5 separate regions of the Mus musculus genome follow, and regions 2, 3, 4 and 5 are each reported to be linked to region 1. The links are microRNA targets in miRTarBase. Many come from high-throughput screens and were not tested one by one. Region 1 holds a microRNA gene; each other region holds the end of a gene's coding sequence.

Region 1 (6,146 bases):
GGGCTGGGTGCCCTCGGCATGCCGAAGCTTCTCTCTGGGTAAGTGGCTTAAGTGTAGTAGGACGGCCGGCTAACGGCTTGTCACTGGGCAGTGCTGATTCATGCTTCTGTCCTTCCCTAGGCGTCCCACGGTTGGCCTTCGTAAGGCTCACTCTTCCACCTCCCAAAGTGGTTGATCGCTGGAACGAGAAGAGGGCTCTGTTTGGCGTCTACGACAACATTGGAATCCTGGGTAGGACGCGATTCCTGGTTTCTGAAGGATTAGTATGCTCTCTTGACTCTTTCGGTTTTATTTGTGGAGAGAATAGTAATGTGCCCGGGGCAAGCCTGGGGGCACAAACCTGTTACACGGGAGATGAAGCCAGGCAAGACCAGTCTGAGATGCGGAGAATAGTGAGGAGTGCGGGACTCAGTCTCACTAACACAGTAGTGGGCAGGTCTGAGGGCCAAAGCGAGTAAATGGGAGTGTCAGTATTTGAACCCAGACATTTCTGGCTGCAAAGTCTTTACTCCTTTCTTTCTTTCTTCTTTTTTAAATAAGATTTTTGTGTTTTCTGAATGTGTACCGTGTACTGCTCAAGCAATGCCTGCAGGTTCAGGGTGACTTCCTAGAACTTCCCTTTCAGGCAGTCGTGAACCTTCAGTTGAGAGTGCTGGGGAATCCTTTGGAAGAGCAAGTGTTACAAAGACTCTGTCCCTTGTACTAGACTGGTGTGTGCCTTGTCTGTCAGTAGTTCTGATCAGGGAGATGAAACTGTGTTGAAGGCCTAGTTGGGCTAGGCTGACTTCTCTTCTCTTGAAACTAGTATATATTCTGTCACGTTACAGGGAATTTCGAGAAGCACCCAAAAGAACTGATCAAGGGCCCAGTATGGCTTCGAGGCTGGAGAGGAAATGAATTGCAGCGTTGTGTCCGAAAGAAGAAATTTGTGGGAAACAGGATGTTCATTGAGGACCTGCATAACCTTAACAAACGGATCAGCTATCTCTACAAACACTTTAACCGACATGGGAAGTACAGATAGGACGGGAAATGTGTCACCCTGGAGAAGGGGAACAGGACTTATCCCAGCAAGGAGAGAGCTTTGTGTGCTCGATGTAATAAAAAAATGGGGCTCCTTTGGAATCTGATATGCCCAGTGCTACATTTACTCATGCACTCTGACGTCTGCCTCGTTCCTAAGTCACATGATCTTTTGTTACTATTACTTACAGCCCAGTTATGCTTGTGGCCTTTATAACAATCATTTATTGCTGGCACTTTCTGACACTGGCACCTCGTGTAAGTTTTTAAAGAATTTATTTTTATTTATTTTATCTTATTTTTTTGTAATCTTGGAGCTGAAACCCAGGGACTTGCTCATTCTAGGGAACTCTGCCACTAGCCGCCCAGGCCCTTGGAAGTGTAGCTGCTATTTCTAAAGACTCTGCCACCCCAAAATGAACTAGGAAAGTGAAATTACACTTTGTACTGCTCTTATCAGTTATAAGTTAGGGAACTTGTCTGAGTACCACAGCATTTCCCATCCTCTTGAATAGGGCAGTTTTGTGGAGGCTGACCTTGAGTCATGCCCAGTTTTATGAAGTGTTAAAGATCACACCCAGTATTACCCCTGTGTGTGCTACCCTGTTTGCTTTTTTTTTTTTTTTAGGGGAAAAAAATGTCATTTAAGAAAGATATTTTAGGGCTGGTGAGATGGCACTGACTGCTCTTCTGAAGGTCCTGAGTTCAAATCCCAGCAGCCACATGGTGGCTCACAACCACCCATAATGAGATCTGACGCCCTCTTCTGGTGCATCTGAAGTCAGTCACAGTGTACTTATTTTTAATAATAAAAAAGTCTTTGATCATTGGACCAGAGCAAGTGGAGTTGACCAGAGAGAGCAAGGTCAACTGAGGCAGCAGAGGTCCTAAATTCAATTCCCAACAACCACATGAAGCCTCACAACCATCTGTACAGCTACAGTGTACTCACATACATTAAATAAATCTTTTTTTAAAAAGAAAGATATTTTAATACAGGTTTGAGCATCAGGGCTATGAGAGAGGTGTTCAGAGGTAAAACACTTGAGAGCATGAGTGTGGGCTTCCCTGAGAGACTCTTCTATATGGCATAGTGCTGGCGTCTTGGATATACCAAGTACTTTATAGTGAGCTATAGACCCTCTGCTGCACTTTGCTTTTGTTAGTATATATTACAAAAATAATAGGTTTTGCTATGACATTCTTCATTTACTTCTTTTGGTTTTTTGAGATAGGGTTTTCTCTATGTAGCCTTGGCTATCCTGGAACTCAGTATGTAGACCAGGCTAGCCTTGAACTCATGGAGATAATACCTTAGTGTTGGATCTAAGGCTTAAGCCACCACATTTTCCACAGGTTTTTGAATTTATGTTTCAATTGAAATCAATTCAGTGAGAAGTCTGGAGATGACAGAAAGGTAATCCAGGGAATTTTTCTTGCATTTTTTTTTTTTTTTTAAACAGTCTTGGGGCTGGAGAGATGATTCCAGCCATCTCCCAGGGATGCTCTTGCAGGTTGCCCAGGTTAATTCCCAGCTCACACATGGTGACTCAAGGCTGACTATACTTCCAGTTTCTGGGCTTCCCATGGAGACAGGCATGCACATGTGCACAGGCATAGCTGCATGTATTATTGCATGTAAAACATGAAATAATAATAATAAGCCGGGCGGTGGTGGTGCACACCTTTAATCCCAGCACTCAGGAGGCAGAAGCAGGTGGATTTCTGAGTTCGGCTATACAGAGAAATCCTGTCTCGAAAAAACAAAACAAACATAAAAACAAAAACAAACAAACAAACACCAAAAACCTATAGTCTCTCAAAGTCAGGCTCAGGCTGGCCTGGAACTCTTATAGCTCAAACTGGGACCCATCCTCCTGCCTCTACCTCCAGAGTGACAAGATTATATGTGTGAGTCCTTGTATCCAGCTTCAAACTACTGTTTAATCCTCATATTTAGTGGCCATGTCCAAGGCTATATAATACCTACTTCTTTTTATAAAAAAGTATTGCCGGGCGGTGGTGACGCACGCCTTTAAAACCAGCACTTGGGAGACAGAGGCAGGAGGATTTCTGAGTTTGAGGCCAGCCTGGTCTACAGAGTGAGTTCCAGGACAGCCAGAGCTACACAGAGAAACCCTGTCTTGAAAAAAACAAAACAAAACAAAAAAGTATTACAGAGACACACAGGCAAACAAAGCAGAGCTTGGGGATTCTCTTGGAAGAGTGGGGGGAGGGACTGTAGGAGCCAGAGGGGTCAAGGACATCACAAGAAAACCCACAGAATCAACTAACCTGAGCCCTTAGGAGCTCACAGAAACTGAACTGCCCACCAGGGAGCTTGCATGGGACTGAGCTAGGCCCTCCACACATTGTGGTTGGGAGGAGTCCTAACAGCAGGAGTAGGAGCTCTGATTATCCCCTGCTTCTGCTGCCTGCCTTTAGGACCCTTTCCCCACAACCGGCTGCCTTGCCCAGCCCTAATAGAAGAGGTGCCTTGTCTTACTGTACTTGATATGCCATGGCTGGTTGATAGCCACTGAGGCCTGACCTGGGGAGAACAGGGGAGTGGGGATCTGGGTGTGGGGAGGAAAAGTGGCAGGGAGAGACTATGGAGGGAGGGAAGCTGTGGTTGAGAGGGAAGCTGTGGTTGGGATGTAGAATAAAATTTAAAAATGTTAAAAGTATTGCAAATCCAAGAAAATGAATTGCTTGTAGACTCAAGTGAGCTCTGAAGGTAGAAAAATTAGGGTGGTTATCCTATTTGATTTAAATCTAAGTTCTGTGTCAATGATCTTTTATGACGTAACAGTCCATTCTTAAACTCAATGACTAAAACAACTTCAAATCATTTTCTCTGGGTTTTCTTCTTCAGATGGTTAATCTAGTTTGCTGTCACGAGGCCATATTCAGCAGTGGGCTAACACGCCTGAGACATCTTCACTCACATCTACTTAGTCAATTGGTAGTTTGGGTTGTTTTTGTTTTTTTGAGAACCAAATCAGGGCCACTGCAAGAACAGCAAGTGCTTGTAACCTCTGAGCCATCTCTCCACAGCCCCAGCTAAGTTCTTTTGGCACAAGGTCTTATTATTCAGCCTCTCTTGGGCTTGGTTGCTTAGAGACTTGATCCCAAAGGACAAAATTTAAATAACAAGGGTTGATAAAACGAGGCTAAGAAGTCTTGAGGTCTTCAGGCATGGAGGCAAAAACCTTTGAACCCAGGACTGATCCCTGGAGACAGAGGCAGGCCTGGTCTACATATCAAGTTCCAGGCTTGGCTACACAGTGAAATCCCATCTTTAAAAAAAAAAAAAAGAAAAGAAAAAACAAAAAAGCCATGAAGCGCGGTGGTCACCCCTTTAATCCCAGCACTTGGGTAGCAGAGGCAGGTGTTTCTCTATAAGCTCAAGGTCAGCTTAGTCTACAGAACAAGTTTCAGCACAGCCAAGGCTACACACACACACACACACACACACACACACACACACACACACACACACACAAACCCTGTCTTGAGAAACCAAAGAGGAGGGGGAAAGGTAGAAAAGGAAGAGGAAAATGTTTTAATACAATCTCACAAGTGTTAGTGAAGAAGGAACTAACAAGTCAGCCCCAGAAGCCCGTATAAAATTCTTCCTGCTGTCAGTTACAAAAAGTCTTATTTTTCAAGCACAGAGCTGGATTGTTTTTGTAATGAAAAAGAATGCAACATTTCCCTTCAACAAACACTGAATCATTGTGTGGAAGGACCTTGGAGGCATATACACCACAAACCAAGGCTACACCACTGCCTGTAAAAAGATTTCATCCGTCAGGTACAGGGTGCGTATGTAAACAAGATGCATATCTGAATTCGGTAATTGCGTGGGAAAAATATTGTTGCAGCATGAGTTTTTGTTTTTAGGTTTATCCATTTACTGTGTACACAGTGTTCTGCCTACACGTAGGCCTGCACACCAGAAGAGAGCACCAGATCTCATTATAGATGATTATGAGTCACCATGTGGCTCCTGGTAATTGAATTTAGGATCTCTGGTAGAGCAGCTCTTAACCACTGAGCCAGCTTTCCAGTCCCACATGAGGTTTTTGTTTTTGTTTTGTTTGTTTGTTTTTAAAAGGGGGTGAGAAAATTGTGTGTGCACATGCATGCACGTGTGTGTGTGTGTGTGTGTGTGTGTGTGTGTGTGTGTGTGTGTGTGTGTGTGTGTGACTGTGGATTGAAGTGCTTGAAGTAGGTCTTGGAAAGGGTCAGTGCTAGGAATTCAATGGGAAATGACTATATAGACACAGGCAGGAAGGAGTCCCTAACCAACCCCAGGGGAGCAGGTAGAGGGCAGGGAAGGCTTCCTGTAGGTGATCAGATCACCACTAATTTATCCTAAAGGAATGTTAAAAGTGGGGAGGGGGTGCAGAGGGAGGTAACAATTTTTTTTTTTTCAGGCAAATGATGCAGAGCAAAATGGCACAGATGTGAGAAATAGCATGGAGCCAGCACACAGCAAGGCTACAAGTAGTATTTGTTAGTGGAACTACTTTGTGTGCCTAAAGATAAGCTGAGAAGTTAAGAGTCAGAGCACGAGGAAACCTACATTTAGTAAAATGATCTAGCCACTTTGGGAAATCCACAGCTGCCCAAAAAGCTAAACACAGAGTTACGTATGGATCGGTAATGTCACTCAGAGGTGTCACCCAAGAGAATGGAAGCGTGTCTGTTCCACAAGAGCAGAAAGGGCCATGCTAGTGCAGGCCATTATGGTGGCCACAAGAGGAACCCAACCAAACCAATGCCTACCTGCTAGCAGAGCCCCGTGGGCCAGGTGCCTAGGAGGTAGAGCAGGAGGATCAGGAGTTCCAGGCCTTCTTCAGATACATAGTGAGTCTGAAGGACGCCTGAGTTTGGTCCCTGGAACTAATTAATCCCTCATGGAAGAAGGAGAGAACCAACTCTTGCAAACTGATCTCATTTCCATATGTGCATGCCTGCCCCCCAAATAAATTAATGTTTTAAAAGGACAAATGTCCAGCAATTGATTTAAAAAAAAAAGTAACCAAGATTTTGAACAGTTGTACAGTGAATTATTATTCAATTACTAAAGGAATGAAGTACCCATACATGCCACA
Region 2 (6,146 bases), not on the chromosome of region 1:
AACTTGCAGGGGTTTGTAGAATTTTTAAATGTGAAGAAAAATACTTTTAAAAAAAATCAACAATCTGGAAAACTTAACTACTCAAATTGATCATTTTCTCTGGAAATCTCACTGCCATGTTAGTCCTTGCCATTTGGCAGACCCTCCTTTGTGTACCATGGTAGTTTTATCAGGATGTGCCTGGGCATGCTATTTGGGTTGTATACTCTAGCATCCCTTCTCTCTGCTCAACTTCCTACCACTTACAACCCAAGAATGTCTTTCCATGCCTCAGTTTTTCCATTGTAGCGTGTTTTCTTTTTCACAGAAAGCCTTCCTACGACACGGAGGCAGACCCTAGTGAGGGATTAATGAATGTTCTAAAGAAAATTTATGAAGACGGAGACGATGATATGAAGCGAACCATTAATAAAGCGTGGGTGGAATCCAGAGAGAAGCAAGCCAGAGAAGACACGGAATTTTGAGGCTTTTAAAAGTCCGTATGGGAACTGTGATGTGGAATGCTCGTGTTCCAGTAAGGGGATGTTGTTGAACTGCACATATTTGTTCATGTGGGTATGTAGTTTTGACAGATAAATATTTACACCGCCTTTTAAGTAAAGATAGCAGATTCTCCATTTCTTACTGGAGGATTTGATTTAAATAAATAAGCTTATTAAACTGTTTCCTTCATTAGCACCCCAGACATTTCGTTTCAGAAAAGGCTATATGGCACTCTTACTGAAAATGTAAAAAGGAAGTCTTGCATAATGAAAATGTTATGTCACAGACTTTTGTTCTGGCTGGGAGATAGAATACAGAAGTGTTTGTCTGTAGTTGACATTAGATCCCAGTAATGTAAACAATAAAGCAAAATTTTTGCATAAAATTCAAATTTGTGCAAAGTTACTACAGAGCTGTTCCATTATTACCATGTGTTACCATATACTGCTAATTGATTTAAGTATACTTATGAATATAAAATTAAACAAAATACAAAGGACAAAAATAGACAAACATCGTGTTGATAAGTACTATCATGGTTCAGATGGCTTAAAAATAACCATGACGCGAAAACTTGAAAACGCCCATTTATTCCTTTGTTCAATAAAGTTGGAGTTTTACTTAAAAGATGAGTTCTGCAATCTGTTTTGAGTGTATTCAAAGTTAAGCTTTGTCACTGTACTCGAGTAAGTTTCAGAAAGCCGTAAGGGCTTAGCAATGGCTTAGCTGTTAAATGATAGGCTCACCATCAAAAAGAAAGCAATTAGATGCCTAGAAAAAAAGCCAGTCGATCACAACAACTACCATTAAGGATTAGGTAAAAGTCAGAACTTACAATTAATGTATAGAAAGGGTAGCTGGAAGTGTATTGAGCTGTGAAGTAAGCAGACTGGTAAACACATGAACTTATTGCATGCAGGAGATTTGGCGTTTGTAGGGAGATGAAGCATTAATGATAGCAGTGTAATAAGACAGCCATATGCTCACACTTACAGCATCTAAGATCTCACTGTCAAAAATAAAGTTATGCAAGTACTTAAAGAGATGGAATTCCATTATGACCTAGGACTGGGGAAGAAGTCTTGATTTAAAAAGTAAAAGGAAAATACATGGCAAAAAAATACACATAAGCACAAACCAATGACCTACTAAGGTTTCCAGTAACTATAAATCATTCATAGAATTAAAAAAAAAAAAAGGAGTTGGGGGCAATGACATTTTCTTCAATGGTGTAGCCACTGGTAATTTCCCCAGCATTCCAGCAAAGTAACCCTAATAAAAGCATTGGGTCACGAAACCTAAAGGGAGGGAAATACAAAAGAAATAAATATGCTCACTCTTCTAGCAAGTCCTGAGAAGCCAGATCAACCCTACTGTACATTGGGAAAACTCCACTGGTTTTTATTTAAGAACATAGCTATTAAATTTTCATGCTTAGGTTAGGAAAAGTAGATGCATAGAACATAAAAACCTGGGAATGACATACACAGTTAAGAACAAACATTAACAGGACTAGACTGTGGTACATCATGGCAGAAATAGATAATTAGGACCTTAGAACCACTGGAATTTTAACAATTGAAAAAGCACTGAAATTGAAAAAAAGAAAAGCCAGATCGGAGGGCCTACTTGGTGGTTAATAAGGGCTTTGGCAGAGGATGCAAGCAATGAAAGTTCCAGGAGCTCTCAGTGTATTAAGCTCATTCATGAAGGTGAAGCTATGACCCCACTTAATACCATGAACTAACTGGGCATTCAATTTCAATATGCATTTTACAAAGACAACTAAGCAATAGTTGCTTTGTTTGCATATTGAATTTAGTACAAGTTATTTTCAGGGAACTTTAGAATATTTGTCTATTAGATGAATTCTAATTTTTTGCAACAATTAATGAATATATTGCAATTTTTATATATTGTGATAAAAGTAAAGTTGCTGACACTCAATTGCTTTTTTTTGTTTGTTTTTGTTGTTGTTTTCCGAGACAGGGTTTCTCTGTGTAGCCCTGGCTGTCCTGTAACTCACTTTGTAGACCAGGCTGGCCTCAAACTCAGAAATCCACCTGCCTCTGCCTCCCGAGTGCTGGGATTAAAGGTGTGTGCCACCACTGCCCGGCTCAATTGCTTTTTTTTTAAGATTTGTTTTATTAATATATGTAAGTACACTGTAGCTGTCTTCAGACACTCCAGAAGAGGGAGTCAGATCTTGTTTCGGATGGTTGTGAGTCACCATGTGGTTGCTGGGATTTGAACTCTGGACCTTCGGAAGAGCAAGTCGGGTGCTCTTACCCACTGAGCCATCTCACCAGCCCCTCAATTGCTTTTTTAGAAGTTGTTTTTTTTGTTTTTTGTTTTTTTTTTAAATCTTGAGTTAATCGCCATTGTGGTTGCTGGAGGCTGCCAGAGGTTTTTTGGACTTCCCAGGGAGTTGAATTACAGTTGGTTATGAGCTGTCCCTCATGGGTGCTAGGAACTGAACTCTGATCCTTTGGAAGAACAGTACTTGCTCTCTGCTGAGCCATCCCTCCAGCCCCCAAGATTTAAAATTTTTATGTAAGATACATAAATATAGAATTAATATAAAGGTACCACTATGTTTTACTTATAATAAAAACACATTTCTAGGGCTGAAGGGATGTATACCACTCTCAAAGGGAACCCCAGTTCTGTTCCCAACACCCATCCCATGTGGCTCACAAGACTAAGTCCAGCTCTAGTATCTGACACCTCTGGTCCCCCCAAGCACTCACCCCCTGCCCCACACATACATATACACATAATTAAAAATCTTGAAACAAAATGAAAATTCCTAGCAAGGCAATGACAACTTAATGGCTATGAGTTAACCTTAGTGTATCTTGTGGTCTCTAAACATTTCCTACTAAAAGAGCCCTAAAGACAGGTGTCTTAATCAGGAACTATACTGGCTGTTATAACAGTAATCAATCAAGAACATAGTGAATAACCTTACTTACAGGATAGAGATGTCAAGGGACTTCCACTGGTAATAGGACAATGATCATGGGTAAGAATGGGCAGAGTGGGCTAATGCACCAAATATATAAACATTTCAAAGTTCACAGGGATGAACAATGATTGGTTTCCATTTTTAGTAGTATAGCAACTTGTTTACTCTGAAAATTAATTACACATTTATGTCAAAGAAACATGTTTTAGTAATTGTTGATATGGAAAGTTTTTTAAAAAAATAATAACAAACACCCAAAGGATGCAGCAAAGATAGAATTAGAAAATCCTACAATCCTTAATGAAAACAGATCCCGTGCAACCATCAGCACTGAAATATCGAAGTCTCCAGGCAACAGGTAAGGTTTAAATGTGGTAGCTCACAGCTGTTTGTAATTGGAACCCAGGGCCTTCCTCTGGCCTCCAGCACCAGGCACCCACGTGGAACATAGGTTTGCATGCATGAAAACATCCATACGCAGTAATGAAAAAATTTAAAAGATGAAACAACTATTTAGCAGTTCTTTTATTCACTGTCACATAAAGTTGACCCTAAATATAATTTAGAATATCCTGTTTAACTCTGTCTATTGTTATCCAAAAAGTGATTGTAACTGCAGACCAGGGAAACTAGTCCAGGAATACAACATAGAAAAGCAACCTGTCAATTAGATCTGACATCTAGAAATATTTTGTGAAATCACTCCAAAAATATATATTATTTTGCTACTAAACATCAAACTTGAAGGAAAGACCATACTTTCACAGAAAATATGTTTATTCCACTCTTGTACTATGCTTTAAAGTTGAAAGACAATTCAATGACAAATAGCCACATTATTTAAAATGTAAAAGTAATTTAACTCAGGGTTAAGTAGACTAAACATACTAGACCCTTGTAAGACCTAGGGTTTGATCTTAAGTCTCCTGCCAGGATTGACTGCCCAGCTGGGCAGGTTCTGAAATGGTTTTACCATATCGCTCGCTGGACTCCAGAAAGTAGCCCGTGGTCAGCTAAGTGGCGGAAGACAATGCGACTAAGTCTCCAGCGACGCTTAACACCACGTGGGCGAGATGTCATAACACAGCGATTTCTGATTCTAACAGGACAGCTATCCCGTGGAAGGGCAGCAATTTCATCACCAGCCATTTCCTAGGGGAAAATTATAACAGATCATAACTCAGTGCCTAAAGGAAAGAAAAATGGGCTAGAATCTTAGCCAGACAACTGCAGATACGATAGAGACAACAGAAATGTTTGATGTTTTTTCAATGTGATTTTAAACATTAAAATAACCATAATCCACAAATCAAAATAACAAAGCTCAGTCTATTTTTATAAACAGCATATGCTGTGTAGCCATCACTGACTTATAACATCAGCACCCAAGGCTGATTGATGATGCCTCCCTTCTAAGGGCACTGGCTAACAGCTAATATGTTCACTAAAACCTTAAGTACACATTTATCCTGTTGCAAACTGTATGCCATATGCCCATATAATATTTTTTGTCTTTATTCATTTTGTTTCTTTATTCTACAATATGCTAGTTTGCCTACACTGTTCCAAGTGTCATTGATATCCTCTGTCTCCTTGATGCTAGTTTCACTGCGTATGTTGGAATTCCTTCATGTATTCTGTAGCTGGTAGAGATAGTGTTGGGCTCAGACCTGGGACCAGCAGCTGAGGTGACTAACATACCAAAGCAGATCTACCCTCCAGGCTCTACCACATCCTTCAATCCTCACCTGAACGTCCCAGCTCAGGGCCTGGACTCCCTCTTCCCTGGAGGCTCTTCACTATATAATTCTGACATTTTAGTTCTCGTTATCTCTCACTCTTGTTTCTATCTATCTTTCTCCTCCCACCTCCCCTTTCTGTCATAGACTTTAATATTGCTTGAATTTGGCTCATTTTGCCGGCAGAGATAACCTATCACTGAGTAGGTTCTCTTTTGAGTTATTGTGAATAGTGCTGCTCCATACATCCATGTTTAAGTCATTTAGAAAAAATATGTGATGCATTTATCGGCCCATGCAGAGACACATAATTTTTGAAGGACAAAAGCTTTAAGCATCTGAGCTGATGATGCTTAGGAAAGACCATGGCTTGAGACTAGTAAAAAGTTCATCACCAGGATCCTCAAAGCCTTATGATGAAGATTCTGACTACTGCAGAAATAAAGGAAGGTAGCCAGACAAGGGCCATGAATCTTGTCCAGGTAATGGCTATGAAACTGGGAAGTGGTTGAGGGGAGAAAGTATGGCAGATTAGGCTCAGGTTGTCAGTAAACACTTATCAGATGTGTTAGCACACCACTGATCCTTGATAGAATGTGGGAGACACACAGAAAAGTACATACTATTTAAAAGGACAAAAATTGCAATACTTAAAAAAACCACTAAATAAATGATTGCATGTGCAAATCTACTGATGTCTAAAAGCTTATGCATTTGTTGATATTAGAAATATGTGGGGAATTGCATAAAACACAATGAGGTCAATGAACAAATAATAAGTATTCTAGAAGAAATGTAGACTTAGCTATGCATGCCCTTCCTTGTCCTCAAAAACTGACATTAGAACAGGAAAATGACAGCAGAAAAGAAAGCACAAAAGAGCATTCTGGGAAAGCCTTCTGGAACTGGACATAAACTTAACTTGTAAGCCTCAGACAGCCCTGATAGTTAAATAA
Region 3 (6,146 bases), not on the chromosome of region 1:
TTATTATAAGTACACTGTAGCTGTCTTACTATAAGAGGGCATCAAGTCTCACTACAGGTGGTTGTGAGCCACCATGTAGTTGCTGGGATTTGAACTCAGAATTTCTGGGAGAGCAGCCAGTGTTCTTAACCACTCAGCTATCTCTCCAGCCCCTAATAGCTACAAATTTAAATACTTTAGGCAATTTTGCCTAGGGATTTCCCAATATATTATATTGCAATGGATTTTCTTTTGAGTCGGAGAAATGTTTGCGATTTAACTTAAAGTTAAGATACTTGTGTGGAGGAGATGGCTCAGTGCTTGTCTTGTGCCCTGATTCCATCCCCAGAAACCGTGGATATGGTGGCACTCATCTGTAACCACAGCATGAGAGATGACAGGCAGACCCACAGGCGAATCATCTGGAAGCTTGCTGGTCAGCTGGCTTGCAGTATGCATCATGACAGAAACAAGAGGCTACCACAAGGTGGAAGGCCGGAGACTGTTAGGTTTTGGGTGTTGCTAAATACTGGCCCTGGTTGCCTCCAGGGGCTGGGAAATTCTCACTTAAACCCAGATGATGCTCTGTAATCTTGTCCCCCAAGTTATCCCCGATTGGCGAATAAAGATGCCTGCAGCCTGTAGCTGTGTGGAAGAGAGACAGGTGGGGTTTGGGGGTCTGAGGCAGGAAGAAGAAAGAGGTGGAGAGAGGAGAGTGTAGGTGAGTCTGGAAGAAGTCAGTGCTCTTAATCCCTGAGCCATCTTTCTAGCCCCATATAGCAGTCTTTTCTAGTTTGTAGATTTTTGTTATGTTTGCAAACAAAACAGTAGTGGAAAGAGACAACATTCACTATATGAATATTCTTTATTGATAATCAGATAATGTAAATAAAATAAGCTCAGAGGTAGTCATGGTCCCTCCCAAGCAAACGTTGTAATCTTAGATAATCTGAGAATTTATTTATTTTTCTGTGTAGCCCTGGCTGTCTTGGAACTCACTGTGTAGACCAGGCAGGCTGGATTTGAACTCAGAGTCCCCTCTGCCTCTGCCTCTGGAGTACTGGGATTAAAGGCGTGGTCCAGCACTGCCACCACTCAACCTGGGCACCTTTAATAGCTTCTGCTTCTGTGCTTTTAATGGCAGGAATCACTTAGAAGCTTGTTAAACAAAAACCCGCATGAAGTCTCTCGCACAGAGCTGTGGGTTGGCTTGTGAGCTTAAGGTTTGATTAAACGGCCTGTGAGACACAGTACAGCATCTTATTAGTGATGCAAGTCTAGAACAAACTCGGTGAAGAATCTGTTGTAGGCACCAAGAACCCGATGCTCTTCACCTAATCCAGCATCATTCTCTCCCGTACCTGAGGTCACCAGGAAGGCAGAATTGAGCTCACAAACCTTCACTAGATGCCCCCTCCGAGACTGAGAATGAAACTCCTGTTGCAATAGGAAAATAAGTGTGCTATATGGCTTTGTATATTTTTCCTAGAAACAGATACGTCTCAACCCAGCTTCAGCTCATACATTGGAAAGCAGATCTGATGTTAATACCATTTTAGTACAGGCAGAGTCTGAGAAAACTGGGACTGTTTTTGCTTGTTTGAAACGGGGGTTTTTCTGCGTAGCCCTGGCGGTCCCAGAACTCTGTAGAAAAGACTGGCCTTGAACTCACAGAGATCCACCTGCCTCTGCTGCCTGGGTGCTAGGATTTTACCATCTCAATTCAAAAATGGGCACGCATGTAAACTAGGCACTTTGTGAAAGTTTCCTTGAAAAGGACGTGGTTTTTGGTAACCAGCATTTCCGTTTTCAGGTCACCTTTAGTAAGGTATATTGCTTTCAAAACAGTTACAGACCCAAGTATTCCTTCTGCTTTCTCTACCTGGCAGAGGGCAACAGAATAATTTCCTGGTTATGTTTTGTCTTGGGGGTAGTTAATGGAGATTAGACCCAAGCCTTTGCATATGCTAAGTACACTGTCACTGAGCTACACCCCTCACCCTGTTTTAGTGATTTTTACACTGGGTTTTGATATATATTTCTGATTTAAGTAATGTAACCTGAATATGGACACAGCGGACCAGGTCTGTAATAGCTACTCCAGCGTCTACGGCAGGCAGATCCAAAGCCAGTTTGGCTTACTATGAGTTCCAAGTGCAGGCTACACAGCTTAGTGAAATGCTGTGTCTGAACAAAAAGTAACAAAATAAAGACGTAGCTGTGGCTCAATGGCCCTGTGCAAAGCCCTGGCACAGTCTCTGGTAAGACACGGGCACTTGCAAGTTGTTTCAGTACCAAGTCTCCGGTTAGGCCCATGAGCAGCTCAGCGAACAGCTCATTTCCTTTCACGGAATCTTAGGAAAGGGTCAACCAGTCAGAACTCAGAACACCAGCTGATGGCGAACCAAGTTTGCTCTTACATATCTTACTGGTTTTGCTTTTCTAAGATGGCTAGTCCAGGCTAGCCTTGAGCTGTGTCGATCTTGCCTCAGCCTCCCAAGCGCTGGGATAATAGTTCACCACCACACCTGGCTTCGTCTTATATATATACTTCAAATGTAATATACCCAGATCCCTTTTTGAACTATTAATACGCGCCTTCTGGGATATAAGTTAATGCTTATTTAAATAAAATGATCAAGATACTCATGCTATTTCCAAATTTAGAAGCGGTTAAAAAGCTATGCAGACTATTGATATTAAAATATAGATTAGGTTTGGCACCAAGAAAGGGCACCAGGGTGCCCACGTATCTCTTTAGAGTCTCAAGCCTTCATCGCCTGTCAAACCCCGCATGTTCTTACTTCCTGTGGGAAATGCATGTCACTTAGAAACCTGCACCTCGGAGTTACTGTTAATGTTCCTGTTTGATATTTATCCTTTTTTTTTTCTTTTAATTTATTTACTTTTGAGACAGGGTCTGTCTGTGTAAACGAAGACATCCGCCCACCTCTGCCTTCTGAGTGTTGGGATTAAAGGTGTGCGCCAACACGCCCAGCTTTCTCTTCTTCTAATGTTAGAATAAAGTTACTTTTACAGGGGACACTTTACTTCGAACTGTAAGAATTTGTTTTCTGGTCTAGAAGGCAGATTGGCTAACAGCTAATGCCTTTCCCTCAAGCCTCACAGCTCACCCATTTGCATTTATCTTTGGATTTTGTTCTTTGACATACACGTGAAAAGTGTGTATGTGTGTGTGTGTGTACTAGTAAGCTGAATGTTGCCAAACATAAAACGCATTTACACAAAATTACTCAGATCCTTAGCGTTCTGGAAAGGTCTGTAGCGGTAGCTGAGACACTTCCCCATCCATTTATTTCCTGTTTTTTGGCTAGACTCTGAGAAATTATTTCTCAAGCAGATCCTTGTCTTAAAGAGCTCATGGCGTGCTAGAGAAGGCCAGCACAGAGCAGTTCCACACCACGATGCTGTAAAGTCACTAGTCAAAGGAACTTCTTTGAAGGATCGGCCTTGAACTTGACCACCTGGAACTCCATGGGCTTCCCCGTTGAAGACGATGCTTGGAATTCTTCCTTTTAAAAAATTTATTTATTTTACGTGTATGACTACATGGTTGCTGTCTTCAGACACACCAGAAGGCAGCCTCGGATCCCATTACAGATGGCTGTGAGCCACCATGTGGTGGCTGGGAATTGACCTCAGGACCTCTGGAAGAGCAGTCAGTGCTCTTAACCCCCCATGGAATGGAGTTTTACTGAGCAGGAAACAAGACGTGACACAATCAGAATCCAGACCTGGGACCGAGAGCACTTACTGTGTTGTGTTTAGGGAGCAGGAGAGCTTTGGGCAGCCCAGCTCCCCAGGTTCTGTGTGGAAGACGGACTTGGCGAAAATACCCATGAGCAGCAGCTGGGTCAGCGGCGGAGGGACGCTAACTGGCCTGGAGAGGCTGTATACAGCAGCTTCCAGTGACTGGATATGGGAATCGAACAGCCTTGCATGGCGTCTCAACAGTCAACCGGATGAACTGCAGTTCCTAGGCATCGTAGTCAGGTGGGTGTGTCTGGTGAGCAGCTGGAGTTGCATCTGAGGCTCAGGCAAGGGACTGGGGTTATACAGGAGGGGTCATCTTCGTAGGACTGTGGCATCAGGTGCAGGGGGCAAGGGCAAAGGCACGGGAGACAGAGGCCACTGCATCTGTACCCACATCAGACATGTTTGTCCATTTTCTCTCATTTGGCCTTAGACCATTGGCAAGAGTAAATGCTCTTAGTCCCGTTATCTAGAAATTTCTTCCTTTGGGGAGAACCACTTATAGACAATATCAGCTCTCTACAAATAACACGAAAGGTCGTAACACAGCAAGTGACCAGAAAGTGCCCGTCCTTGCGGCTCTGATCCACGTGGCTCTCCGTAGACAAATTGTTTTTCTTGTAGGGATATCTGTTTTGCTTCTGAACTTTCTTACAAGTGTTTGGGACTCCTTCGGGGTGGCGTTTGTGTGGGCAGCATGAGCTAAGCAGTGACCTCCACTTTATCCAGACTGAAGATGGATTTGGTCGTTACAGGTCGCTCTAGGCCAGGTTTGGAAACATCCGGTTTTCTTCTTAAGGAAAACAGTGGAGTCTGTCCCAATCGCAGTCCCACAGGAGGGAGGGTTGCCATAACCGGGAGTAACCAATCCCTGATTCCCGGAAGTCGAGTTTCACACCTTGCTTTATTTAAAAAATACGTACAAAAGAGTCATGAAAAACACGCCCAGACTAGGCTTTGTGGCAGCCGAGTGGCTTGGCATGAATTTGTACAGCGGAATCATCGGGCACGAAGGATTGGATACGGAGATGGAATCCGGCTGCCATCGCAGCGGGAGGTGAAAATCCTTTTTAAGAGCACTGAAGGGCTGGGATTTCCCTGGAATAGTAAGCTTCGTGAGGTAGGAGTCGTGTCCAGGGACTGTAACCTGAGAAGGAACAAGAAACAATTACTTGAGTGATTTCAGATGGGTGTGAGGTCCACGCAGAAGACAGATCTCCACCCCTTTGAGCGGTGCATGCGTGGCTTGAAAGCGGTCCACGCCTCCGGGGCTATAGCGCCCGGAAAGTTGCCAGTGTTTCTTGATGTAGGCCTTTGGTGCAAATGCTACCAAGAATTACAAAATGAAGTAAGAACAGAGAGGGGGTTCAGCATCTAGTGAAGGAAAAGACTAAATGGAGGAAGCCACGACTGATTCTGCCACGGTCATTTTCAGTGTGCCGGGGTAAAGGTGCTTTTTTTGGACCAAGCCTAGAGTATCCTTATTGGATATCAAGATTGTGAGTAGATTCTTCCTTCAACTTACTCCCATTCTCCTTGCCACTGACCTAAGGTGTATAACTCTACTTCACTCCCCACCCCTCCTTTTTAAAAAGAAAGAAAGAAACAAAACAAAACCAAACCCAAAACCTTGCACAAGAGCGGTTTTTTTGCCTGCACGTGTCTACCACTTGCATGCAGTGCTTACAGAGGCCAGAAGAGGGCAACAGATTTCCTAGAACTGGAGTCGCGGATGGTCAGTTGTGAGCCACCCGGTGGATTCCAGAACTTCAACCCAGACCTTCGGAGCCCTTCTACCACTTTCTTTTAAAACTTTTAATTGTGCCAGGCGGTGGTGGCGCATGCCTTTAAGCCCAGCACTTGGGAGGCTGAGACAGGCGGATTTCTGAGATCGAGGCCAGCCTGGCCTACAAAGTGAGTTCCAGGACAGCCAGGACTATACAGAGAAACCCTGTTTTGAAAAAACAAACAAACAAACAAAACCCCCAAAACCAAAACCAAAACCAAACAACTTTCAATTGTTTTAAAAACTAGTTTTGTTCTTGTGAATCTTCAGGTAGGTTGCGATTGCTCTTGGAGTTGCTACATAGACCAGGTTGACCTCAAACTCACTGGGTCCACCTGCCTCTGGGCAGTGCTGGCATTCAGGGCTTCCTTTTGAGCACTTTATATATTCTAGAAACTCATCTCTTAATGGAGAAGTCATTTGCAGATCTTTTTCCCCAGGTCTGAAGACACAGGGACAATCTGCTCTTGGCTCCTTTGCCATGCTTCCTGGTTCGTTTTTCTTTGTCTATCTTAATTTTGTGCCTTTGGGGCTCTATCTAAAAAAAACCCATCGCTTTACATAAATGGCTTGAAGTGTTTCCATTGTTTTCAAGCACGCACACACA
Region 4 (6,146 bases), not on the chromosome of region 1:
GGCTCTAGCCCTAGGGCTTGACTCTAAACTCAGTTTCCTTTTGTTGTTCTTTCTAGACTTTTGTTGTTGTTTTGTAGCTGAGGTGGCCTCCCCCTTCTCCCATGTGCTGAGATCTCAGGTATACAGCAGCATGCCCAGCTTCTTAGTTTCCCTTCCCACCTTCATCTGTTGACCCCGCCGCACCGTCCTACAGTCCCACCCTGCCCCTTCCAGTCCTGCAACTTGGATGGACTGTGCCTTTCCTAGGACCCTTTGCTCTTGAATTCCTAAGAAGCGCCTGACATATGGGGCTCAGGTCATGTCCTTCTCCTAAAGCACCTATCCGACCTCCCCATGCTCAACTAAGGACATTCTCTGTTGCCAGTTCCTTATTTTTCAAACTCTGAGTCACCCCAAGCTGCGATTGTCAGGGCACGTTTTTAATGCTTGCTTCTCTATACCCAGCATCCAGCATGGGACTAGGCATTCAGCAGGTGATCAGTCAATGCTGACAGAATGAGTGAGGGATTTGAACTGCAGTGTTACCAGACAAGCTTCGTGCCAGGGAAGGTGTGTCCCTCAAAGCTGAGATATGTAGGAAGCACTGGGTTGCTGAGGGCCTGGGTAAGATCTGTGGGAGATTTGGGGTGACATTTGATCTGTCAGGGAGGTAAGGGGGGGTAATCCTCAGCCCCACTTGGGAGAGGAATGCAGCTCCTGGGGTCACAATGACCTGGGAAGTAGTGAGGTCAGGACCCACCCTGGAAAATCCAGTAGATAGCCTATCTGCAAACTCTCCAGGCCTGTTGGGGTTCTCCTACCAAGAAGGCCTGACAGAGGGAGGTCCCAGCCCCAGGTCCATCCAAAAGCTCCTCCTGGCAATGGGTCCCCTTGCAGACATGCTGGAACTCAAAGAAGGAAGATAGGATCAGTGTGATGAGGGACAAAGAATGGAGATGTCTGGTACTCTTTTGTTGTTATACTTGAAACAGGGTCTCTCAGTAGTCCTGGCTGTCCTGGAGCTCACTACGTAGACCAGGCTAGCCTCGAACTCACAGAGATACACCTGCCTCTGCCTCCAGAGATTAAAAGACATGCACCATCATGCCCAGCTTTCTTTTTTTTTTTTTTTTTTTTTCCTTGAAATAAGTAGGGGAAGCAAAGATTTCACACCACAAACTTCTGAACTGTATGCTTTTCCTATGGCTACCACCTACATACCCTGTCTCCTGGCTTTCACTCTTTCCTGCTCATCCGGAAGAACACAAATACCAGTCAGTAGGCCCTTGAGGTCACGGCACAGGTCCCCATTCCTACACATGGACTTCCAACAACATATACACACGTGACCTTACCACTGCAGCAATCCCCTCTCCATGTCCTGCATGCCTGCCTCTGATAACAAAGAACTCACCGCACTCAAAGGCCCCTGTTCCACCAGAGAGCAGCTCTGGACTTTTGTTTTTCTTTGTTTAATAAACTTTATTATTAAGAAAAACCTCTTGCAAATAAATAAAAACATCACACACCAAAATCAACAAAGTCGTTTTGTTTGTTTGTTTGTTTTCTTAGACAAGTCTCACGTAGCCTGGGTGGTTGGCCTTCAAAATGCTCCTGCCTCCTCCACCTTTCAAGTGCTGGGGTTACAGGTGTGTGTCACCATGCCTAGAGATTCAAATGTGCCTTCCTAGTATTCAGCTTTGATTCTGGCCTGCTTGGCACTCCATAGATTATCCTTCCCTCTCCACCTTGCAGAACTATCATCCCCCTGGTCACCTGGCCCAGGTTGCCCTCTCACCTTAGGTGAAACACCCCCCCTCCCCCCCCCAAAAAAAGCTCAGAAAAGACAGAGCTGTTCCCAGTGACTTCTCCAATGTGACTCACCAGCTACAGACAAGAGTCATAGAGAGTGACGAAAAACCAGCAGAGAAGCCAGCTGCTACAGGTGGGCCAGCATTGTATCCCGTCAGCCATGGCGAGACTCTGAAACACCATCTACCATTTAGCCCATGGTAGGCATCTCTGGGAATGAAGATGGATCAAGGGCTGTGCTGCCAGGTTCTCTTTTATTAGCCAATTAAGACAACGAACAGGTCACAAAGTCACAGGAAGTAAGGCCAAAAGACTGACAGATATACAGGACAGAGATTCATGCTGTGCTACGCAGGGGACAGGACGAGGGAAAGTGAGAGGTTTGAGTTTTGCTTCATCAACTAACAGAATAAATAAATACAATACACGGTGTTTTGTTTTTTGCCAAGGCTTTGTACAACCTCTAAGCACAAGTGGTCACAAAACAGCTGGTTTGAAAAGCAGTCTATACAGCCAGTCAGCCTCTGCATAGAAATGGGGACCCAGGCCCCTGAACCATGCTCTAGGGAAATGAGGAAGCAGGGCAAAGGAGACCTCAAACAGAGCAGAGACATACAGGACTCTTCCTAGAAGGGCTTGTAAGGGTTTAATCCTTGGGCTCTCTGCCCTAAGTGACCAGCAGGCCTGAGAGAGATTCCATCAGCAGTGTCAGGAAGGTGGGCTCACCCACAATTTCTTCAAAGAATCGTGCCCTCTAATCCTCCTAAGAAGACATGGTCATGAAGATAAAACCCACGTGTGTCTTCCCTCCCTTCTCTGGCCTTGGGGATTTGGGTCAGCACATGAGAGAACACATGACAAAGATCTAAGAGAGTTTAGAAAAGCCTGGGATAGACCAGGCTCATGTCATGACCAGATATGACCTCAGGTGGCCTTGCTCTTTAGGAGGTTGGGAAGGCTTCTGGAAATGGTAATACCCAGAAGTGTTAGATCCCAAGTCCCAGTGACAATCAGTCATTTGCACCCAGGAATAGAAAGACAGTTTCAGCCCTGCGCCTGGTTCCAGATGAGACAATACAGAAACATAATTTCTTGAAGCTGACCACAATAGGGTAACCATGGATCGATCACTGATCCCTCCCTAACCCAGAACCCCCTCATCTCCCTAAGGATTTGCTAACCTCTCATCTCCCCGTCCAAGTCTCTCCTCCTCTGATGTTCGCAGATTCTAGAACCCAGGAAGATACCCCTTCTTAAGAAACCCTCAACTGACTTTGGTGCTGCTGCGTGAAAGTGGGAATGTGAGACTGCGTCCTAGGCTCTCTGCCTCACCTCTCACGAGGCCAGTCACCTTGTGTTCCGTGGCTCACTTCTCCTGTTTCTTTCTTTCATGCTTTCCTGTCTCACTTTTTACTGGCTAAAACCTTCTCCTACCCCAGTCCAGACTGACATTACTAAGGTGAGCACTATTGGCTCTGTAGGCCAGTCGTGCCAGGCCACCACTGTGTGGGCGTGGGGTTGAGGGTTCTGTGGCGAGCCAAAGGGTTGCGGAATCATAACCACGAATCTATTCAAGTAATCTTGCCCACCCCTCACCATGGGCAGGGGAATGGAGTAGCCCCCCCCCCCAAGGCTCACACTGGAATCCAAGAAAAATAGGATCAAATCCAGATTGTCTAACCTAAAAAGGAGCCATTTACATTTACTGGGAAACAGAGGCAGTATCCACAGAGATCTTCAGGTATGCAGGACTCACTGTTCCTCAGCAAAACAACAGTAATGTTCTAACTTACAAACTGGGCTTCTCTAAGTGCTTATGCTGCAGTTATTATTATTAAACTTAATTAAAGCCTCTGCCATACAAGGTTGTGGCATAGAACACTGGGTGGTTGGAAATGGACAGAATCTTCTAAATCATCTTATCCAGACAAGACAGTCCTAGCAAGCTTGAAAGGGCGTCCACAGAGCAGGGTTGCCTAGACATAGAAGAACACACCCTGCCATGCCAGTGACTAACGAGACAGAAGCGCCTACTCCCACACCGGCCTCTGCAACAGGAAGCCAAGTCCTGAGACCGTATGTAGCCATAAGGGTTCACTCACTGAGAAGGGATTCTAGAACCCTGCAATGAGGTCTCTGTTCTACTGCGGCTGCCCCTCTGCAATCTGGGAGCGGGTACTTCCAAGCAAAGAAAGAGAAGAAAAGGTGACTGTGAGCCCCTCCTAATATCTGGAGATGCTGTGGGGTTAGAGCTACCTCCTGCCTGTTGCTCCTGGGTCTCCAAGTAGGACTTTGATGAATCTTGGGGCATGGAATGGAAGAGTTGCCTAGAGAGAGTTCAGGTTAAGGGAGGAGATAGCCAAGCGGAGCAGAAGAGAAACAGGAAGAAACAAAATGACTAAAACCAAAACAAAAAACAACAACAAAAACAAAAACAAAAAAAAAACCTACAACCCCCAAAAGAAACACTGTTTGAGAATACTGGACAATAATAAAGCCAGCACCAAAGGCCAAGGGTAGGTAGAGGGACAGGGATCAAGACAGAGGCAGTGGGGCTGCAGGGGAGGGGGGATCAGGAGAAAAAGGAGGATGAGAGAGAGAGAGAGAGAGAGAGAGAGAGAGAGAGAGAGAGAGAATCTGCTGGAGTGAATCTCAGGGGCAAGGGTAGTGGCGATGTGAGAACAGGGAAAGGGGGCCTGGGGCAGGCAGTGCCTGAAAATATAGTTTTATATATTTATATTTATATCTCACATTCCACACTTCAACTTACTAACGGGGGGGGGGGGAGCAGGAGGGAGGAGGCAATACTGAAGAGGGGGTGTAGCCAGTTGCTCCCCTCCTCCCCATTTGACCTCCATGGGGTCCAAGCAGGGCCATGCAGAGGGTGTGTGGGTTTCACTTGGGATTGGGACTTTGAATAAGGGAGACAAGGTGAAAGGACTCCAGGCCCCAGCATCCCTGGGCTCTCAAAGTTAGTTCTAGGAGAACTTGGAGAGCCTTCTGAGAATAACCATGGGACCGAGACAGGGGTACACCCAAGACCATGGTTGGGTTAGAAGCCAGACAGTCAATTGGGGAGTGTATCGAGTCCCAGGGATGCGGCGTGCTGCTTGGCCCGGAGGCGAAGGTTTTCAATGCTCGTGGTTTTACTGTTCAGGGCAGCGGAGGCAGGTGCCAGGCCTGTGGGGGGCGCCGGCAGCAATGGGGACCCCCACACACCCTGGTGGGCAGCAGCAGCTGCTGACAGGGATTGGTAATAGGACTGGCAGTGTAGGGAGCTCAATGGGGCCATGTTGACCCCTAGGTAGGGCACGGCAGCCGCCGCAGCTGCAGCCGCCGCAGGTGCGGGACCGCCCACTTCAAAAGACGAGTAGTGCATCAGGTTGTTGGTGGCCGCCATATGCTGGCGGAACTGCTCCTGCAGACGGAAGAGGCTGAGTGGGGATGAGGAGTAGGAGTGGGAAGGACCAAGGAGGCCGCCCCCTGGGGCTGCGGGCGTTATGGCCAGGCTGCCTGGGGAATCTGCAAGCAGAGGACACAAAACAAGTACTCAGAACAAGAGAACTAGGCTCGGAGGAGAGGCTCGCTCCAATCCCCTGAATCAAGCAGTGAACATAGTCTGGCTAGAACCATCACCACCCCATGTCAGCCAGGGCATCCTCTGAAGTGACCCTCAGAATTGGGTTGGGAGGGACTTAGAGAAGCTGCAGGGTTTCTCCTACCTGGGCACCCATGCCCCAGTTCCCTGAGGAATGCCTTAATCTTGTCCAGGAGTAAGCAGGACTCTAATCTTCTCTCCCCAGCCCTCAGCTCAAAGGCCTTCTGTCCTCCTTGCCTAGCTTAGGGTTTGTGTCTGGATATACAGCTCGCCAGCGCTCTGTTTCTTCTCACCCTGGCTAGGGGGAGGGGCTCCAGCCCAGAGCAGCTCTGGGGAGCAGAGATGGATGTGCCTAGTCCTCGAAAGAACCATCCTGGGCCAAGAGTGGTGGCGCACACCTTTAATCCCAGCCTTCTGGACACAGAGGCAGTTGGACTCTGTGAGTTCAAAGCCAGCCTGGTCTACAGAGGAAGTTCTAGGTCAGCTAGAATTACATAATGAGACCCTCTTTAAAAAAACAAAACAAAAACAAACAAAAAACCATCCTGCTAGGGAGTGGTGGCACGGGCCTCCAATCCCAGCATTTGGAAGACAGGGGCAGATGGATCTCTGTGAGGTCAAGGCCAGCCTGGTCTACAAATCAAGTTCCAGGACAGCTTGGGTTACACAGAGAAACACTATCTCAAAACAAAAACAAAACAAAACAAAACAAAAAAAGAAGACGTATCCTCTAGACCCTCTCAGCAGATCTCCTTTC
Region 5 (6,146 bases), not on the chromosome of region 1:
TGCCCACTGGGTGGGGGCGAGGGTCACCAAAAGCACACAGCTGGGCTATGCTGAGCTCTGACAGTCACCTCACCAAGCTTCCAAGGGAGCCCGTAGCCCATTGATGTGGCTGAAAGTCAGTCAAGCTGCAGAGTCCTCCTGTCATTTGGTGGTCAGGAGGATGAGGCAGGAGAGCTTCTGGTTACACCGTAGCAGAGTTTTTGAAACAAAAGGAAAGTCACAATAACATCACAGAACTCCAAAAAGGTGAGTTCATAGTTTCTTATCTTTTGGGTTTTAGTTATTTATTTTGGTTTTTTGAGACAGGGTTTTTCTGTGTAGCCCTGGCTGTCCTGGAACTCACTCTGTAGACCAGGCTGGCCTCGAACTCAGAAATCTGCCTGCCTCTGCCTCCCAAGTGTTGGGATTAAAGGCGTGTACAACCACTGCTCGACTTGTTTTCTGTTTGAATACGTCTGTCTATCTCCTATCTATCTATCTATCTATCTATCTATCTATCTATCTATCTATCTATCTATCTATCTATCTTATGTGCATACACATAGGGTAGTACATATGGAGGTCAGAGGACAATCTGTGGGTATCAGATTTCTGTCTTTGGAACACACGGATTCACAGGACTGAAATTAAGTCATCAGGTTCGGTTGCAAGCACCTTTACCCACAGAGGCATCCCTGACTCTTTGGGGTTTTTAAATAAAGGATTCTCTCTGTAACTGTGGCTGGCCTGAAACCACTATATGGACCAGGTTGTATATGGACCACTTCCCTGCTCCTTCAGGCCCCAATCCCAAAGCTGTCCAAAATCCAGTGGCTTGGACATGGTGGGCGGGTCTCTCTAGCACCCTAAGGAGTCCCAGGAGCCTCCTCACTGGTCGGCACCCTCCCCAGAGGACTTCCCAGGCTGGAGCTGGAGCAAAACTGGATTGGTCTTCCTTTGGGTTAGGTAACCTCACTGGGCACCAAGGCAAAGCCTTACAGGGTCGCCAGCAAACTCTGACCCCGTTTGAAAAGATAAAGCCTACAAAGTAAGCAGGCTGCAAGAACTTCTCTCTAGAACCACGTTCTTGGGTGGGGGGTGGGGGGTGGGGAGATGTCTTGAGTGCAAAGGCGACTCGCCCAAGTTGGAGTCCAACCCATCCCGGGTCCCCCGCCTTCATTTCAGGGTTCAGGCTCCCACCCCGGGGTGCGCTTAAGTCAGGTCACCAGAAGGGGGTGCGAACGCGTGTCAGGAATGTGTGCACCCACCCGGAGGCTGACAGGTGCGGAGGCTGTCCCGAAACAGGGCAAGTCGGCTTGAACCCTGCCTCCCACCACCCAGGCCACACAACAGCCCGGGGATCTTTTCGCATTACGGCCGAATTCTCCCGGAGCTCAATTCACAGTGCGCACCGAGCTGGCTTTCCAGGCTATCTCCGAGCTGGAGCCTCCCGCAGCCCGGGAAGCGAAACAGCGGACCCCGGGCCAGCATTCCCGAAGCCCCGCATCCCTGCCTGTCCCCGCCCTGCCGGCGTCTCGAGGGTTAAAAGTTACCTCTCGGCTTTTTCTCCTGCACACACTCCCCACCCCCCGGGCCGGATGATGTAACCCCCTCCCCGCGCCCTCCCCGCCCCCTCCACCATGTGACACTTTAATTAATAATAGCGCCGTCAGCACAACAAACGCGCGGTGAAGGGCGAAACTTGGGGTCCAGGGAGGCTCCTCCGCACGCCATGTGCCCGTGTCCCCGGCATCGCGGCCGCGGGCCCCCGGCCGTGTGCGGTTGCGGCGACGCTCGCCCCGGGCTGCGCTGGGCGGCGGCGCAGGTGACCGCGCTGCGGCTGCAGGCGCTGGGCGACGAGCTGCACCGACGCGCCATGCGGCGTCGCGCGCGGCCCCGGGACCCGCTGCCCGCGCTGCTGCCCGCGCTCCGCGCCCGCTGGCCCTGGCTGTGCGCGGCCGCGCAGGTGGCGGCGCTGGCGGCCTGGCTGCTCGGCAGGCGGAGCGCGTAGGCGGCGCGCGCGGGGCCTTCTTGGTGGGGGGGACCGGAGCCGAGACCCAGCCCGGACCGAGCAACAGGTACGCGGGCAAGCGGGCGGGAGAGCGACAGCGACAGCGGGAGCCAGGGCTCCTCGGCGAGGAACAGCGGACCCGGTCTCCTACTCTTCGCTTGCCCTCTGTCCCTCTTTATCCAGACCCCGAGTATCTGCTCCGCCTCATCCCCCCTACTCTCTCTCTCTCTCTCTCTCTCTCTCTCTCTCTCTCTCCCTCTCCCTCCCTCTCTTCCCTCATTCTCTCTCCTCCTCCCTCTGTTCCTCTCTCCTTTCTCTCTTCTCTTCCTCCCTTCTCCTTCCCCCTCTCTCTTCTCTCCCTCTCTCTCTTCCTCCCTCCTTCCTCTCTCTCCCTCTCTCCTTCCCTCCTTCATCTCTCTCCTCTCTTCTTTCCCTCCACTCTCCATCTCCACTCTCTCCCCCTCTCTCCTTCCTCTCCCTTTCCTTTCCCTCTCTCTCTCCTCTTTTTCCTTCCCTCCTCCCCTTCTCCTTCCTCTCCCTTTCCTTTCCCTCTCTCTCTCCTCTTTTTCCTTACCTCCTCCCCCTCTCCTCCCGCTCCCCTGTCTCTGTTCTGTCTTCACTCTCCCCCCCCTCCCCACTCCTCTCTCTTCTCCCTCACTCTCATCTCTCTTCAGTGTTTTCACTCTCTTCTTTCTCCAATCCCCTGGCTCACGTTATTCTTCCCCTTGTGTAGCTCTCCTCTGCCTTTCCACTTTCTCCTGTTTTCCCTTTCTCCAGTCTGCTTTCTCTCTCCTCTCCCACTACCCCGTGTCCCCCCTTCCTTCTCCACCTCTCTCTCTCTCCCCCCCTTCTCTCTCTCCTCACTGTCCCCTCTCTCCTTTCTCCCTCTTCTCTCTCCTCCTCCTTCCTCTGCAGCATAGTGGTTTTAGAAGGACGTAAGCCACCACAATCGCTGCCAGCCCCAGTAAACACACGCAGTAGAACTGCACCAGTCCGAGCTAAGAGTCTCCCCTAATTATGCACCACAGGTTCTCGAGTCCCCGGCCCTTTTCAAACCGCCTGGTATTCCAACTTGACCAGGTCTCCATATCTCCACTGCCAACTCCCGTCTCCTCAAGGGTCTGCAGTTTGTGGTGATCCCCATTCTCTATGACCCCCCAACTCCTCCCACCCCCGCTCCCGTGGAAGTTTCTCAGGGGTAGGTCGTGGTCCTCTCTCCAAGGCAGGCGCACATCAAGGTCCCATCTCCTGGGTAACTTTGTTGCTCCTTTTACCACGAGGTGTCGCGGTTTACAGCTTGGCCTCCTATCACCTTCCCCAGCGACGGCGAGAGGTGTGGGCGCCTGCTGTGTGCTCCGGACCGTCCCTGGGTGCTGGGTGCCTAATGTTTGATATCGGGAGGCTATAGGTGGGTCCTTGGTAGGGTGACCTGTGAGCACCCGCTGTGTGCCAGGTACCGGGCTAGGCGGTTTGGGGGAGCAAGAAGTGTCGGTCGGGGTCGCCTTTCTAGATTTCTAGTGCAGAGGCTTCATAAAACGGGGTGGGGTGGGTGGGAACTAGGCTGACTTCCGAGAATGGGTCGGAATGTGAAGATCACAGGTAAGGTAGCCAGAGACCCTGAGATGCTCTGGGCTGATCCCAGCCCTGCCCGACGGGCGCGCAGACACCTTAGGAAGCTGGCGCGGCGCCGCAGGGAGAGGCGGCAGCCGGAGCGTGGGGGGTGGCAGCGCCCGAGGAGCTGCGGGGGTGAGCGGGGTGTGAGCCGGGAGCGCGGGCGACAGATGTCGCGTGGGCCCGCGCAGCCCGGGCGCTGGCGAAGAGAACTGTCGCTTCGGGGCGCCCTGCGGCCCGGCTCCCTGGCTCTGAAGGTCCCTTGCGCGCCTCCTCTCTGTTCTCCCTTTCAAAAGTACCGCTGCTGCGGAATCCCGGGGGGTGGGGCTAATATTTTGAAGGGTGCCACAGCTTTGACTCCCAAAATGTAGACTTTGGGAGGAGAAAGAGGGAGGAAGAGAAGGGAAATTCATACTGGTTATGAATTGGAGAGTGGGGGCGTGGGGGAGAAATGGAGGGTGCAGAAGTGAATGGGGAGGGAAGGAAATCTCTAATAGAAGCGAGGGGTGGGCAGGGATGTTAACTCGGGAGTCTAGGAGCACAGGCGGGATGGCAGAAGTGCTGTTAGTGTCGTTCCACTCAAGACTCCGGGCGAGGGCGAGAGCCTGTATCGGTGTGCATGCATGTCGGGAGTTGGGGTGCTCAGGGAACCCGAAAAAGAGGCTGCGGTCCACGCAGGCCCGGCGCTCCACTCTGAGCTCTGACAAGAAGTTGGGAAACTGGAGCCCCGTGGTACGGTATGGATGTGGTGTGCAAGGGAAACAAGAGATAACTTTCGCTTTAGAATTAACTTTCTATTCTAGCTCCGTTTCCGTCCCAGAGATAGCTCCGTGCTGCGTCCTGACTCCCGCCCCCAACTCCTTCCTGGCTTCTGCTTACAACGTCTCCCCTCCTAGCTGCCACACCCACCAGGGTTCTCACTTCTCTGTGCTCCTGACCCCTGGAAGTGCCGGCGCTTTCCTCTAGATGGTCCCTTGCACCCCTGAAGCCCTTGTCGGGGGTACTCCCTTCATCTGGTAACAAGATGACCACACCCTCATTTTCCAGTCTGCCCTAGTTGGCTAGAGCCAGGAAAGCCGGCCGAGAGGGTAATCGGTTGAGTTCTGTGTACTAGATGTGGGATGCTCTCCCCAGCATTGCGGGGGTGGGGGGTGGGGGAGGGGGGTGGGGGGTGGGGATGGGGATGAGAATGCTCTGGTCTACCTTGGTCTCTGGGAGGGTGTTGGGTTGGGGGATATCTTTTAAGAGCTTAGCTTTAACCAGGGTCAGTGGGCCCAGCAAATTTGTTCTTTGCCCCAGCTGTGAGCCAGTAACATTTGGTCCACAAAGTTACTAATAAAAGAGACAAAAAAGAAATAAAGCCCCAAAGGCTCAGTTCTTCCATACTCAACACGGGGACAATAATATTAGCAATGAGCTTACAGCACAGGTGACTTTAGGAGGGTTGAAGGAACAATTCTTACTGCTTCTGAGGTGGCTGTAAGGGCTGGGGCTCCTGTGTGGCTCCGTGATGGATTATGGCACCAAATTAAATAATAATAATAATAATAATAACAATAACAACAATAATAAATAAAGCAGTTGCAGATGTGAGCTACCATGACCATTACTGACCATTTAACAGCTGGAATCTTTTTCCACCCTTGGCCATAGTCTACCATGGTCATTGCGATGAAGTGCACTATTCTTTTGAAAACCTATTTATTTTATTTATTAACTTATTCATTGTGTGTGGGTACGCAAATGCCAAGAGGTCTGGGGACAGCTTGGAGGAGTGGATTGTCTCCTCAGAGGTCCTGAGAGATCAAACTTAAGGGGTGGCGATGTCTGTGCCTTCTGAGCCATCCTCCCACCCCAAGCCCTCTGGGGAAGTCAGTTTAAAACCCAGTAGAGTGCTAAGCCAGACAGGGCAGTGGGCAAAGTGCTTGCTGGGCAGACGTGAGGACCCTTGCATCTGTGACCAAGCCCTGTGGAGAGACGCGAGGCTGTAACCCCTGCTCTAGAGGGAGGGGTGGAGTGAGGGCAGGGACAGGTGGTCCTGGCACTCCCTGGTCAGCCGACTGAGTTAAAATGACCGGGGATGGGGAGGAGACAGGGGCAGGGAGGGACTCTAGAGAAAAAAACCAAACAAACCCAAAAACGGTGTTTACCCTCCACCTCTGACCTCTGTATGCACACACTCGGATTGGTTTGTCTGAATTTGCATACATATGAGGTAGGTTTAGGGACCAGAAGGGCTAGGGATGCAGCTCAGTGCTAAAGGGTTTGCTCAGCATGCAGGATACCCTGGGTTCCAGTCCTAGCACGGGGGTTGGGTACCTGTCCTTTGTGGGCAGGTAAGAGCCATTGCTGCACTCCACCTGGCTGTGAAGGAGAGCGGTCCCTTTTCCAGGGTGTGTTGGGGGGGGGGGGGGAGGGCCGCTAAGGACAGGGCTGTGTCTAGCTTTTAATTCACTCCACTTGAAATAGTTAGGGTCATTCTTATCACTTCAAAAAAAGAATGGGAAACTGAGGCCGAGAGCATCGACCTGAGTCTTTGCAAAGA

Evidence for each region. The annotated mature microRNA mmu-miR-3098-3p reads UUCUGCUGCCUGCCUUUAGGA and lies in region 1 at 3,450-3,470, shown strand. An mRNA with a match to its seed (bases 2 to 7 or 8) in the 3' UTR can be bound and repressed. Matches are read on the target gene's strand: a 7mer-m8 pairs with bases 2 to 8, a 7mer-A1 pairs with bases 2 to 7 and ends in A, and an 8mer does both.
Region 2: miRTarBase lists Mrps14 as a target of mmu-miR-3098-3p. Seed matches in the 3' UTR shown: 7mer-m8 at 2,993-2,999.
Region 3: miRTarBase lists Cpm as a target of mmu-miR-3098-3p. Seed matches in the 3' UTR shown: 7mer-A1 at 1,847-1,853, 7mer-m8 at 1,667-1,673 and 7mer-A1 at 1,098-1,104.
Region 4: miRTarBase lists Dmbx1 as a target of mmu-miR-3098-3p. Seed matches in the 3' UTR shown: 7mer-m8 at 4,428-4,434.
Region 5: miRTarBase lists Hrk as a target of mmu-miR-3098-3p. The part of its 3' UTR that is shown has no 7-base or 8-base seed match.

What each region holds. Positions count from the first base shown.
Region 1 is chr6:125,192,396-125,198,541 of GRCm38, forward strand. Mir3098 (microRNA 3098) reads left to right here and starts at 3,397; the gene lies at 3,397-3,483. Mrpl51 (mitochondrial ribosomal protein L51) reads left to right here. Exons shown (of 3, transcript NM_025595.3): 1 at 1-38; 2 at 121-231; 3 at 828-1,997. The coding sequence ends at 1,024. It overlaps Gm52878 (a long non-coding RNA gene), which reads left to right and starts at 4,339. Exons shown (of 2, transcript XR_003956366.1): 1 at 4,339-4,847; 2 at 5,466-6,146.
Region 2 is chr1:160,197,885-160,204,030 of GRCm38, reverse strand. It overlaps Mrps14 (mitochondrial ribosomal protein S14), which reads right to left. Exons shown (of 3, transcript NM_025474.4): 3 at 2,845-4,603. The coding sequence ends at 4,421. It overlaps Cacybp (calcyclin binding protein), which reads left to right. Exons shown (of 6, transcript NM_009786.2): 6 at 308-1,664. The coding sequence ends at 464. Among named protein-coding and RNA genes, the nearest start is that of Mrps14, 5.7 kb to the right of the region's middle.
Region 3 is chr10:117,682,032-117,688,177 of GRCm38, reverse strand. Cpm (carboxypeptidase M) reads right to left here. Exons shown (of 9, transcript NM_027468.1): 9 at 826-4,900. The coding sequence ends at 4,658. Among named protein-coding and RNA genes, the nearest start is that of Gm25709, 23 kb to the right of the region's middle.
Region 4 is chr4:115,913,093-115,919,238 of GRCm38, forward strand. Dmbx1 (diencephalon/mesencephalon homeobox 1) reads right to left here. Exons shown (of 5, transcript NM_001025567.1): 5 at 2,027-5,313. The coding sequence ends at 4,859. Among named protein-coding and RNA genes, the nearest start is that of Dmbx1, 24 kb to the right of the region's middle.
Region 5 is chr5:118,168,072-118,174,217 of GRCm38, forward strand. It overlaps Hrk (harakiri, BCL2 interacting protein (contains only BH3 domain)), which reads left to right and starts at 1,693. Exons shown (of 2, transcript NM_007545.2): 1 at 1,693-2,057. The coding sequence starts at 1,712. The coding sequence ends at 1,990.